Caenorhabditis elegans: one gene and its partner. The protein of the gene in region 2 interacts with the protein of the main gene of each other region in a biochemical or structural test. Each region holds a gene or a part of one and is shown on either strand. Other genes may lie near its edges.

Evidence for each region. Proteins that work in one complex are often made in the same cells at the same time.
Region 1: of the proteins of pmk-3 (region 2) and atf-2, one has a biochemical effect on the other in vitro, tested with the Caenorhabditis elegans proteins (one study listed by BioGRID).

Annotation. Positions count from the first base shown.
Region 1 is NC_003280.10:8,749,753-8,754,590, forward strand, and holds atf-2 (Transcription factor atf-2), read left to right. Parts: upstream 1-2,233; coding exon 2,234-2,364; intron 2,365-2,438; coding exon 2,439-2,814; intron 2,815-3,044; coding exon 3,045-3,267; intron 3,268-3,349; coding exon 3,350-3,606; intron 3,607-3,679; coding exon 3,680-3,778; intron 3,779-3,866; coding exon 3,867-3,986; 3' UTR 3,987-4,181; downstream 4,182-4,838. Other genes in the region: K08F8.7 (MARVEL domain-containing protein), read right to left, coding at 4,409-4,466, 4,522-4,802. UniProt on the Caenorhabditis elegans protein: Acts as a transcription factor that recognizes and binds to the sequence 5'-[GA]TTA[CT]GTAA[CT]-3', a sequence present in many promoters.
Region 2 is NC_003282.8:8,137,164-8,144,111, reverse strand, and holds pmk-3 (Mitogen-activated protein kinase pmk-3), read right to left. Parts: upstream 4,894-6,948; 5' UTR 4,810-4,893; intron 3,867-4,809; coding exon 3,615-3,866; intron 3,132-3,614; coding exon 2,986-3,131; intron 2,936-2,985; coding exon 2,851-2,935; intron 2,553-2,850; coding exon 2,443-2,552; intron 2,398-2,442; coding exon 2,250-2,397; intron 2,077-2,249; coding exon 1,470-2,076; intron 1,389-1,469; coding exon 1,312-1,388; 3' UTR 961-1,311; downstream 1-960. Other genes in the region: Mitogen-activated protein kinase pmk-2, read right to left, coding at 497-601; islo-1 (Interactor with SLO-1), read right to left, coding at 5,188-5,488, 5,540-5,670, 6,025-6,340, 6,547-6,751. UniProt on the Caenorhabditis elegans protein: Responds to activation by environmental stress and pro-inflammatory cytokines by phosphorylating downstream targets. Involved in axon regeneration after injury, probably downstream of dlk-1 and mkk-4 and upstream of mak-2. May phosphorylate mak-2.

The DNA.
Region 1 (4,838 bases), on a different chromosome or scaffold from region 2:
TATTTATTTTTTTGTATGAACCTTACCGTATATTAGTTTGTTTGCTAATATCCAAATTTACAAAAGGCTGTTTTTCGGCCAATCTTAAATTTTGATAGTTTGATGGAAAACACTTATTTTTACTAAAATAATCGAAAACGTAACCTGGAAAACGCTACACCGTCTTTAACTTAAGAAAAAAAAATATAACTAACTCATTTTATTTGATTAAAGTTGTTGATTCAATAATTTTGAAACAGTTTTCATTAATTCACTTTTCAAAGTGGGCAGACTCAAAGAATACCTCTTTTTCATGTGAAAAGCTAAAACTTCACTTGTTCCAATTTAAAAGTTCTAAGAAAATAACAGTTCTTCTTGACAATCCTAGATTCAAGTAAAGATACCTTTATCTAAAATTGAATTTCAATTTTCTCTCCTCTTTTTCCAATTTCATTCACTTTCCTTCCCATAGCCTGCATACTTTCACCGACTCGTTCCCGAACGATATGATCGTGCTAGCCACTCTCTCTTTCTCGTATCGAACTGCGATCTTTCAGTTCCCAACAAGAATACCATCATTTCAACACCTCACTTTCGCAATCAACTACCAAAAGTGCACTCTCACTCTGTTACTCTACCTAACCGTATTATCCGCTCTCCATGTAAAACTACTGAAGTAGACACAGCAAGGGACAGGCACACACTCACTGGTCATCAAAATCATCAAATGATGCAGTGAATTTGGCTGTTCTGGTTTGCAGACAAAAAAGTTTTGGAAGCGGTGCGGGAGGATAGTGGACACTGTTTGTGATTCACTTCTCGTCATTCTCCGAGCCTTACAAACAAACAAAAATAGCTCTCTCTTTTCGCTGACGATTGTCCCCCAACACGGGCGGCGGTTATTTTGGCTCTCGCCACTCTTTTTCAAGGTGCACAATCAAAAACAAACAAGTCCAGCCCGATTTCGCGAATTTGTTCATCTAGTTCAACGCATTTTTTTCATTTTGAATACATTTGCTTGTATCGTTTCCGAGTTTCTTGAACAATTACTTTCAGAATTGAGTATCATTTTTTGTGTTCAGCAGTGAAAAATAACCAAAATTTCTCTATCAGGCTTGCACTCACATTGGTCATATTTTACAGTCCTGACCTAGAGTGCGTTTATGAATTTTTCAAGACTTTTGTTTATCTAAACCTACCAATTTTTTCTTCGTTATCTTTTTCAACTTTATCTTTTAGCCGTATCTCATTATTCACTTTCCACCCAGTAGCTTCATCCTCTTGTCTTCCAATTCTCCGCAAAGTTCACCTACCCTTTTGTACTAGTGACCTGATGCGACGAATTCAACCATTGACCTCCTCCTCCTTCTCACACTTAGACACACATACATCCGTAACCCGAAGCAGCGAAAGTTAAGCATGAAAGCGAAAGGAAAGTGAAAACAATTAGGAAAAGTCGGCATCATCATGGATCGGAGGAGGCGACGCGTTGAAGTCGTTGCGAACGATGAAAAATGATTAGGAGACGGGTCGAAGAAAAAGAGAAGGGACTGCAATGAAGAGAGAAGGGGGCGAAAGTCGGAGGGGATATCCTGTTCTTCGACTGGTTTATTGTAGAGACTGAGAGTGAGAGGATCTACCAAGCATTGTCCGAAACATTGACCATGGCTAACTGGTTTGCAAGGCGCAAATAGGTCAACTGAGGAGAGGCACAACACCGCTTAATTGTTGCTAACTGCACTCTACACCTACCATATGAACACACCTGTACCAGATATACTTTGTTTTCTCACCTTTTTTTAAGTTAGTGATTTTCTGGTTGTCTAGATACTCAGGGATTAGCATTGCGTAAGATCATCTTCACTGAAACCAAAAACTGAATAATTTTTGTATACACATTGGTCAATTAAAATGGCTTACAATTAATTAATAATATCTGGAAACAGTGAACACATTGAACTTCTGATTGTGCTGAATCTCCAAAGATCGTGTCAATTTCAACTCAAAAAGACGTATTTGTCCTTACATCAAATAGGTTGACAGCTTCTTTTAACTCTACTAACTTTCCATTTCAATACACCATGTGTACTAACATTTTGAAGTCAAAATATAAATGTTGTGTCTTAATTCATTTTGAAAGATTTTGGTATTCATATTTCTTTCACCGATGTTCTTTTCTTTCAAATTTCGTACTTCTATATTCTTGATTTTCTTCTTTTGTTTGACTTTTAATCATCTTATTTTTATTTTTCAGATGGACGTCGACTCGGCATCATTGTCACCGTCCTCCAGACTTTCGGTGGTTTGTTCGGCATCCGCCGAGTTCTCATCGAGCTCGTCGGATTCGTCGAACTTTTCAGAAGGATCTCCCCCGGAATCTAGAAGGTTTGAATTTTTAACAGTTTGATGAAACTTTTGAAAGTTTAAATACTTTTCGACATTGATAACTATTTTTCCAGAAATTCCGTAAACGAAAGTGTAATAAAAGATGAACATTACTGGGAAAGGCGACGGAGAAATAACGATGCATCAAGAAGAAGTCGAGAAAAGCGAAGGCAAAACGATCTAGCAATGGAAGAAAAAATAATGTTACTTTCCGCCGAAAACGAACGGTTAAAATCTCAGTTAGGAACGACACCAATTCCACAACCATCAGTAACAGAGCCTCCAACATCTCTGATTATTCCCCAAGTTGCAAAGAATCTTTTCCCAGCGGGTCCAATAGCATCTTTGCAAGCGAGTTCAATGCTTACTGTTCCATTGCTCCAGGCAGCTTCGCATATTCCATCAATGTTGCAGCTTTGTCAACTACAGCCAACAACTATTCAGTCACCGGTAAGTTATTTTATTGAACTTGGAAATATCGAAATTGTGATGATTTAAATAAAATAAATTAACTCGTGGAAAAATATTTACTATTACAAAAACGTCTGAACCGCATATAAAGTTCCATTGTCATTTTTTGGCAACACAACTCAGATTGTCAACAATTTAATGAATACATTGACAGCTGAATGCGTGACCTAGAAAGACAGATGTCCCATAACGTTTTTCCATGTTTGTAGGTCTATGCGAGCACTCAACAACCTGCATCAACGTCAGCATCATCTTTATTCTCTTCATCGTCTTCATCTGCATTTCATCCTTTTCGACCATCAGAAAGTGCTCAGCAGAGTTTTCCATCGAGTAGCGTAATTGTGAAAATTGAACGAAGAAGTCCAGATTCATCAACTGACGTGAATATGCCTCAACCTCAGTTACAGCCTGGATCTAGCGTTATTCAACAAAGTAAGTCGTTGTTTTTGAAAGTAAAGAGCATATTTTCATTTCACTAGTATTAATTGAAACTATAATCTAAAATTTATTTCAGTCGGTCAGCCTGCTCCATCAGGTACGCCTCAACCAGTAATCCAAGCTGTTCAACAAGGACCATCCCTGCTATCTGCTCTTCTTTCACAGCGAAGACCTTCTCCTACAGTACCACAAAGCCGAACGGAACATATTTCGGGGCTAAATTCCCCTCCAAGACATACTGGAAACAAATCAGACTGTGAAAGTGTATCGTCTTCAGCATCTTTCTCTCCATCGCATTCTTCGGAAGATCACTCAAATTATTCGAACAAATCGGTAAGTTTTTTTAAAGGAATTGAAAGAAGACATTTTTAAATACATGTCAAATATTTCAAAAAAAAACTTTCAGCCCCAATATGTGGACAGACGTCGAAGGAACAATGAAGCCGCAAAAAGATGTAGAGCAAATAGACGAGCAGTATTCGAATACAGGTCACGACGAGTTCAGGTAAGTTGAAACTAATTTTAATAGAAAACATAAAATTTTAAAACTTAGATATAAATTTATTGAATCAATTATTACTTAACATTTTCAGCTCTTGGAAGGTGAAAATGAAGATCTTCGTACCCAAATCGAAACGCTAAAAGCAGAAATAGCCCACTTCAAATCAGTTTTGGCTCAAAGAGCATCAGTTGTTACTGCCCTTCACCCTTGATCCCATTCCATTTTCTTATTTTTGACTAATACGGATAGAAAGCCAATTTTCTTCGTCTTCTCGCTAGATGCCCCCCAATCAAAGTCTTTCGCTCTCAAAAAACCCTTCCTCTCTTTCTGCAATACTTCCAATCATTCATGTGCAATACTTTTTAACTTTAAATGTTTCATTAATTGTTTCTAATAAAACCAATGTGTTATTATTTTTGATTTGCTTCCTGTACAAAAAAAGGTGAAACAACAAAAAAAAGTAAAGTCTGCAAACGATTTTTAAAATCCACCCGTCGCTTGCCAGAAAACGGAAACTTTTCAGAATGATATAACTGAATCAGAAAATTGTTTTATTAATGTTTCATATATACAAATTATTATGAGAAAGTGAATTTAAAGTTGAGCATTGATAATTATTTGATTACTTTTCCATTAAACAGAACTTGTTTGCCCTTTTCGTTGATACTCCATGTAAATGTCATGTATACTTCTGAAAGGACATGAAATATAAAATATTTCCTAATTTTATGCAAATCTTGACCCACTTTTCCGTTTCGATGACGGCAACAGACGGTGGCGGAATGTCATAAATTGGCGCCTTTTTTGAATTACGATAAAAATAGAAGGCATTCAGGCCTAGATCCAGAAGTCCAAATACTAGAACCAAAAAGCAAAATACTGAAGCAACTTGGAATGTTCCAGTGGAAACTGATTGATAACATCCGTATTGAGTTATTGCTCGGGAGTCACAACCATCATTGGCAATTAAAAACAGAATTGCAGAGACGAGAATGGAAAGAGCAAAAACAAAAGTGAATAGACATCTCTGGAATTTTTTGACAGTACAAATCTACGCGTTATC
Region 2 (6,948 bases):
TGACAATTTATATTTATTTCCAATGATATCACCATCACATTATGTCTCATATCCTATGATCTTCGTGAATTTTGTAGTTATTTTTATTTTGGCAACTGTAAAAATGGAGTAGCGCAACAGGGAGAAGATGATTAAAAAATACTTCCATAGTGCAAAAAATGAGTAATTGTGTTTTACTTTTAAGAAAACATTGGATTTTTTTAAAGAATTCAAAAAAAAAAAAGGAATTCAAAAAAAAAATTTTGGAAGCCGACCAAAAAAAATCTCTCCTGACTTTCGTTATAAAATCATTTTTGTTCAAGTGATTAAAAAAATCTTAATTTTTTTTTCAAATAGTCCGCAAATTTGGAAATTTTCCAAAACTTTGACTAAAAATGATGAATAATCTAAAATTAACTCATTGGGTTTTTGTAATTTGCAAAATTTCTTTTAGCTCATTCTAGTATATTTAGACAATATTCACTACACTATAAAAAATCTTCTTCTGTAACTATACCTCATGATATCCTTCTGGAGTAATCTCAGGCGGGGCAGGACCAAAATCGGCAAAAAAGACACCGGGAATGCTGGCTGAATCGCCCATGGTCGCCGACATCCCCATCAACAAGACATCTAGAAAAAGTTTGAATTGAATTTGTAAATATAATTTTTACATTTTTGCACGAAAGTTTTAATATTTCGAAAAAGGGCAGACAATTGCCTACATAGGTATTCCAAAATAATAATTCAATCTTATTTCACATTTTTTAAATGTTTGAATTTTTCTGCTAATTGAATAAACGTTTTAAGCTGAAGTTCAGGATTAACTTTGTCAAGTCAAACTATGCTTTTTATATTAAAAAAATTCCAGAAATTTTCAGATAATCTCACTTTAAACATATAAGCTCGTGTAAAATATGAGTGACACGGATTAGAACCAATCTCTTTTTTATAAAACACTTCAAGCTTTTAAAACGAATTGTCAAAAGAAAATAAGTTTATTGAACTAATTAGTATGTGTAAGGGTGCAATGACAAGAATGACGAATATAAAAAAATATGATGGGATAAAAGCATGAGAGAAAAACGAGACAAAGAGATTCAGAGAAATGGAGAAGTAAAGAGAAAGAGAGAAGGAGACAGAGACATAAAAGGAAGAAGCTATAGAATGCAAGAAAATAAATACTCTGAAAGAATTTGAAAGAGAAGATGGAAAACATCATTATCACCTGTAAAGTGTTGCTATCACTGAACGACAAAGAGACGAGAAAGAGAGAGGGAAAAGAAGTAATACATTTCCGGAATTATATACAATTAATATAATTGAATGAAATCAGCGATCTGCTTCTCCAGGGATTAACGGTGATGAGCTGAGTCTTTTGTAGTTCATTATTTCCTTCCAGACGGCATCTGTAATAAAATATTTTTGCATTTGTTGTTTTTCAAATTTGCAGGTGTGCAGAATTCTATTACGTGATCTTTGAGCCTTACCTCTCCACTCGAATCTTGTTCTAGCTTGAGAGTCATCCAAGTCAAATATATGATCAGCTCTTGGTTCATCTTCTGGAAGTGAAAACTCTGCCAAATATGGATGTTGAATAGCTTCTTCCACCGTAATCCTCTTCTCTGGATCCAAAACTAAAAGCTTCTCAAGTAGATCAATAAAGTCTTCTGATGGATTATGAGCAGAAAATACATCACGGAAATTTCGACGTTTGTGAGTTGTGTAGGATTGAATTACGGCTTTAATTGCAGACGAGTTATCATTTTCAATCTTTGTCAAAAGTTCTTCATCAGGACTTCCACATAATTGAGTAATACGTTGATATTGAGCATTGGGCTCATCACCCGGAAACAGTGGTTCTCCAGTTAAAAGTTCTGCAGCAATACATCCAAGTGACCACATATCTGCCAGATTTGTGTAACTATCAATCTTCCAATAAATGACTTCTGGACTACGGTACCATCTTGTTTGTACATATTGTGTTAGAGAAGTATCTTTCTTTTCCAAGGATCTTGCAAGTCCAAAATCGAGAATCATGAGGTCAGAATCATCGGTCAACGCGAGATTTCCTGGTTTCAAGTCACGATGTATAATCTAAAAAATTTTAATAAATATATTTTCGTGTTTTAGTCATGTTCTTTTTGACTAATTATGGCCTAATCGTGCCTAATCCTCCTATATGAAATTTTATTTAATCTAAAATGCTGATATTTCTATTAAAAAAAAAAGAATGAGCAATGTTCTGTTCACTAACTCCATTGACTTACATTAGCAGAATGAATGTACTTAAGTGCACGTATGATTTGATAAATGATGAATTTGATATGCTCGTCGGTCAGCACGCGCCGTCCATAATCTCTTTGTTGCTTCAAGATCTGATAAAGACTACGACCCGCAAATTCAGTGACAACGTATCTGAAAATTATAGATTGTTTGTAAAACTTTTTTGTAATTACTTACACATCTCGAAAATCGTTTTCCTCGTCAGGTGTGTAGATGTCAAGAGCACAGATGATATTGTCATGTCTCATTAATTGAAGAAGTTTTGTTTCACGGAAGATGCGACGAGCCTGGAAGTTTAAGGTGTTCAAAGGATGTGATCGACCAAATATATTCTCAAAAATGGGTATAAAAACCAAATATCAGCTTTTTGAAATGTTCTTCTAAAGTTTTGGCAATTTTCCAACAAAAAAAAAGACGAAAACAGAAAACAAGATTAGTTTTAAAATTCTGGTTTTGCCCCAAAATTTTGAATCACCACTTCTTGACTGTACATAGAAAAAGTTCGAAAATTTTTAATACGATATTAGTTCATTTGAATTGTAAAAAATATGCTCTAGCTTCAATAAAAATGTATCTTTGTCTTACATGATGTGGATCAAAGAACGGTTCTCGCATCTTCTTTATTGCAACATAACGACGAAGCCCGTCACGGCACACTGCACTTGTTTTTCTGGAAAATATAATCATTCAAATAAAGCACACAAATACTGAAAAACATACATAACATTTCCAAACGAGCCTCCACCCAAATACTCAATGCTGTTTGGCTCGACGTCATAGCCTTCCGGAATTGCAAATGTAATGTTACGGATCATCACAAATTGGAATCGTCGTTTGTGTGGACCACATGGTTTTGAGAGAATATCCTGAAAATATAATGATGATTAAGATTTTGGAATACCTATGGTTGCAATATTGTCAACAATGTTTATTTCTGTAAAGCTAAATTTCTGAGGCATTACATAGCCAGTTTCCTATTTGGTTTGGTCTCTAGTACACGTGCCAATTTTATCATTTGGAAATAAGACGGCGCAATAATTTTGTGTTGCAATTTTTGTAGAAAAAACTTCTCAAAAAATGAGCTATGCGTGCGCGGGGTTAGATTCTTCTGAAAATGTCAATTCTAGTCAATTCTACAAATATTAAGCTAGTTTTGAAACTTTGACAATTATAAAAAAATTAATTATGGAATGTTTTATTTCCATCCTTTTTAGAGTATTAAGGTCGATTTCTTAGATTAAAGTCATACTGAAGCTTTACCTTTATCATTTTTATGATTCTCCGCATATCAACAAAACGCGCGGATTGACTTTCGTCAACTTACGAAATCTAAAATCTTTCTCCCTCACCTCTTCCTCCTCCCCAACCATCTCGTTGTTTCCCGTTGCTTCGATACTCTGCTTCTTAATATTCTCTGCAGCTAACTTTTTCTGTTGTTCCTGCTCTCGTTGTTGTTGCAACCAGGTGTTGGGTTCGTAGCTTTCTGGAGGTTGAGATTGATTATTACTTCGTTTGGTTGGTGGTGCACTTGGTGTTGACACGTCTTCATGACGACGGACATGCGACACTGGGAGACTAGATGACGATGGGACTGACGCCATCTGTAAATTTAAATGGGTTCAAGTTAGGGCTTGAAGTGAAAAAATCAATAACGAAAAGCGTTGTCGGGGGAAATTAGAGGAGTGTCGGGGATTTCAAAATGAAAGTTTTATTGCGAAACACGCCATGTAAACTCGAACACTCAAGCGACCTATATTTTTGCGGAGTGAAGTGTAAAAATTGTGAAACAATGATTTTTTTATTGTTTATGGTCACTACTTTGTTTTCTTTTGGAGGTTTTCGGATTCACTATAACTTTAGGAAATTCGATATTTTAGAAAATATTAGGAATTTTGAATTTATCAACAAAAAAATCAACTCAATCAATGAAGATTAAATAGAAGAATTTCCCATAGTTTTGGCAATTACTAACAATATCTATTTACATTTGAACTGTTAGTAATTGTTCTCTCGCAATTTTTGTAACGCGTACTTAAAGACACATGGATATTTTTGAATTGGGTCTCAAAGAGTCAGATTTAAATGTTATTCGTTTTTGTCTATTTTTGTGAAATTTTCAAAATATTTTTTCATTAATTGTGGAATGGAGGGATCATAAAAAATTCTCAGAACTTTTTCTGATGGCGAGACCCATAAGAGGAATTATGCAAAAAAGGTGCAAAACTACCATGAAATTATGTAAAAGATTCGGGTGCTCAATCAATTGTAATTAATAAAATCGGTGAAATACTTGTGAGCTCAGTTAAATTGAGATGAGCACTACAGTTTGTTTTATATTTTCTTGTTTATTTACTGAGTAGCGTCTCTTTGAATTTCGTAAAAAAGTGTACAGTGTTTGTTCGAATATGAGCAATATTTAGGTTCAAACAAAGTTAATTATAAAGGGTAAATAATATATTTCATTTCAATTTTAAATTATCAGAAAATTCGTCTTTTGTTCAGCGCTCCACTATTATGAAGTTTACCAAAAACAAAATATCTCACCTGTTATTATAATAAAGTTGTAGACTAGACGTTCCTGTATTGATTGATTTTGAGTATATGTTATGATAAAAATACTGGAGAAAACTGAAAAAAGACGGAAGTATAATTATCAGTGACCAAGGAAATTGGAAGAAACAGTGAGGTCAATCAGATATGAGTCAGCAGCGATTGAGACGCAGTGAAAAATGGGAAACGAGAGGAAGACATACAAAGGGCGAAGGTCGAATTTTTTATTTGGTTGATGGAAAATATTATTGTAGATAAATATTTTAAAATATCTACAAATTATTCATCTCCTTTTCGGTTGATCTTTGTGGATACAGAATTTTGAAATTAAAAAAAAACAATATAAATCTGGTTAACATCATAAAACAATGTCTATATTTGACTATTTTCTCTCCTTCTTGATCTTCCTGATCCTTTGCTTCGATTGGAGTTAGTTCGATGTAAAGGTCCCATTGATTTGGATCTTTTTTGACTTGAAGCTTCACTTGATTGTCTTCTACTTGCAACTGACGGCTGCCTTGATCCTAACCGATTTTCCATTATTGAATTCGTGTCAAGGAATCCAGATTGATATCTTCCAACGCTTGTAGCTCTTAGGGTATTATATGGACTTGCTACAAAAATGTTATTCGGAGATCGTCTATGAAGGGAAAGTGTGGAACATCCAGGAATTCTGAAATTATAGATTTACAGAATCTTGTTCCGGTTTGAATGAAGTTCTTACACTGGTGGATACAGTTTCTTTTCATCGTGTGGCTTAACTACATTAGACATTGCGTGTCGATTCTCAAGAACTGGGTACGCAGGTGGAGGTAGAGGTTGATATGGATCTTTCTCAAAGATCGGAGGTAGCGGCTGTAAACGTGTAACAACTAAAATGGGTACATTTTGATTTTGAATTGATACGCATTATTACCTACATTCTTCGTTCTAGTGAACTGTATCTAAGCCTTGTAAGGTTTCAAACACATTGCTGTTTCGGTTAATTTGGCAATTTACCAAAACTATGCCATTTTCAGAAATCTAAAATGTTTTAATAGTTTTTTTTAAATTATGGTACGATCATTTTGAGTTTGTTTAGACGTTAATTTGTTAGCTTTAATTGTTTATATTACTTTCATGAAATTTTCAAAGGTGTAGTCGCAACTTTTACAAGGACATGTGGGTTTCTAATTGAATTTGAATTTTCAATTAATCAAAAAGACTTACCACATAATGTGTTGTAATAGTCGTAAGCCTAGCAGGATCATTGTGCTTCTTTGTGTGGTGTAACGAGAGATCACAGAGCTTTGTTGTGCATAAAAAGTAGATTAATGAAATTATCAAAAACGAACATCCGAGTCCAAATAAAATAGGACCCGCAATTTGAATTGGTGGTGGTCGTATTCTTTGTTCGTATGGCCAAGTCCAGAATGGTGAAGTATAAAGGTATTTATATCCAAGAAGTGACATTAGTAGTCCTCCAATTAGGAGAAAAACGCCGAATGCTGTACAACAAATCAATGATGACGAGCCACGAAATTTTCTTTAAAAAATAATGCTTTTTTCAGGGTTTTTTTTTAAATTTTTGATAAAGTAACTTGATGTATATTTTCTGCGTCTCTGTTGAATTTTCGCGTTGAATATGATGTATTAGGACATACTCCATTAAATTATAATCTACGAGTTATTTAGTTGAGCTATTCAACCCTCATATTTCCAGCTTACAGTTTCAATTATCAAAAAACTAACGATGTTCTATATGGAAAAAATCCAAATGTTGCTGGATACAATATATCCCATCCTTTTGGATAATAATAGAAATATGGATCACGTTGAGCCATTGGTCCAAAATGAAGAACTCTTTGATTTCCAGTCCATTGTTGAGGATCAATCTCACTTGCACCAGCTTGAACCATTTCGTCTTTCTTATCCTTTGCAGTTACGTGAAGCTTGTCTTTAATATTTCGAAAATATTTATGAGTTTTTAGAATCAAATTGACATGAAAACCCCTTATATTTAATACAACAACTCTATATTCTGTGCTACATTCAGTACATCGTGGTGAGACCCATAAAGTCAATTTAAATTACTACTTCTCAGTATTGCTTTGATGGTTATAATTACTGTAGCTGGTATCGATTTATGGGCCG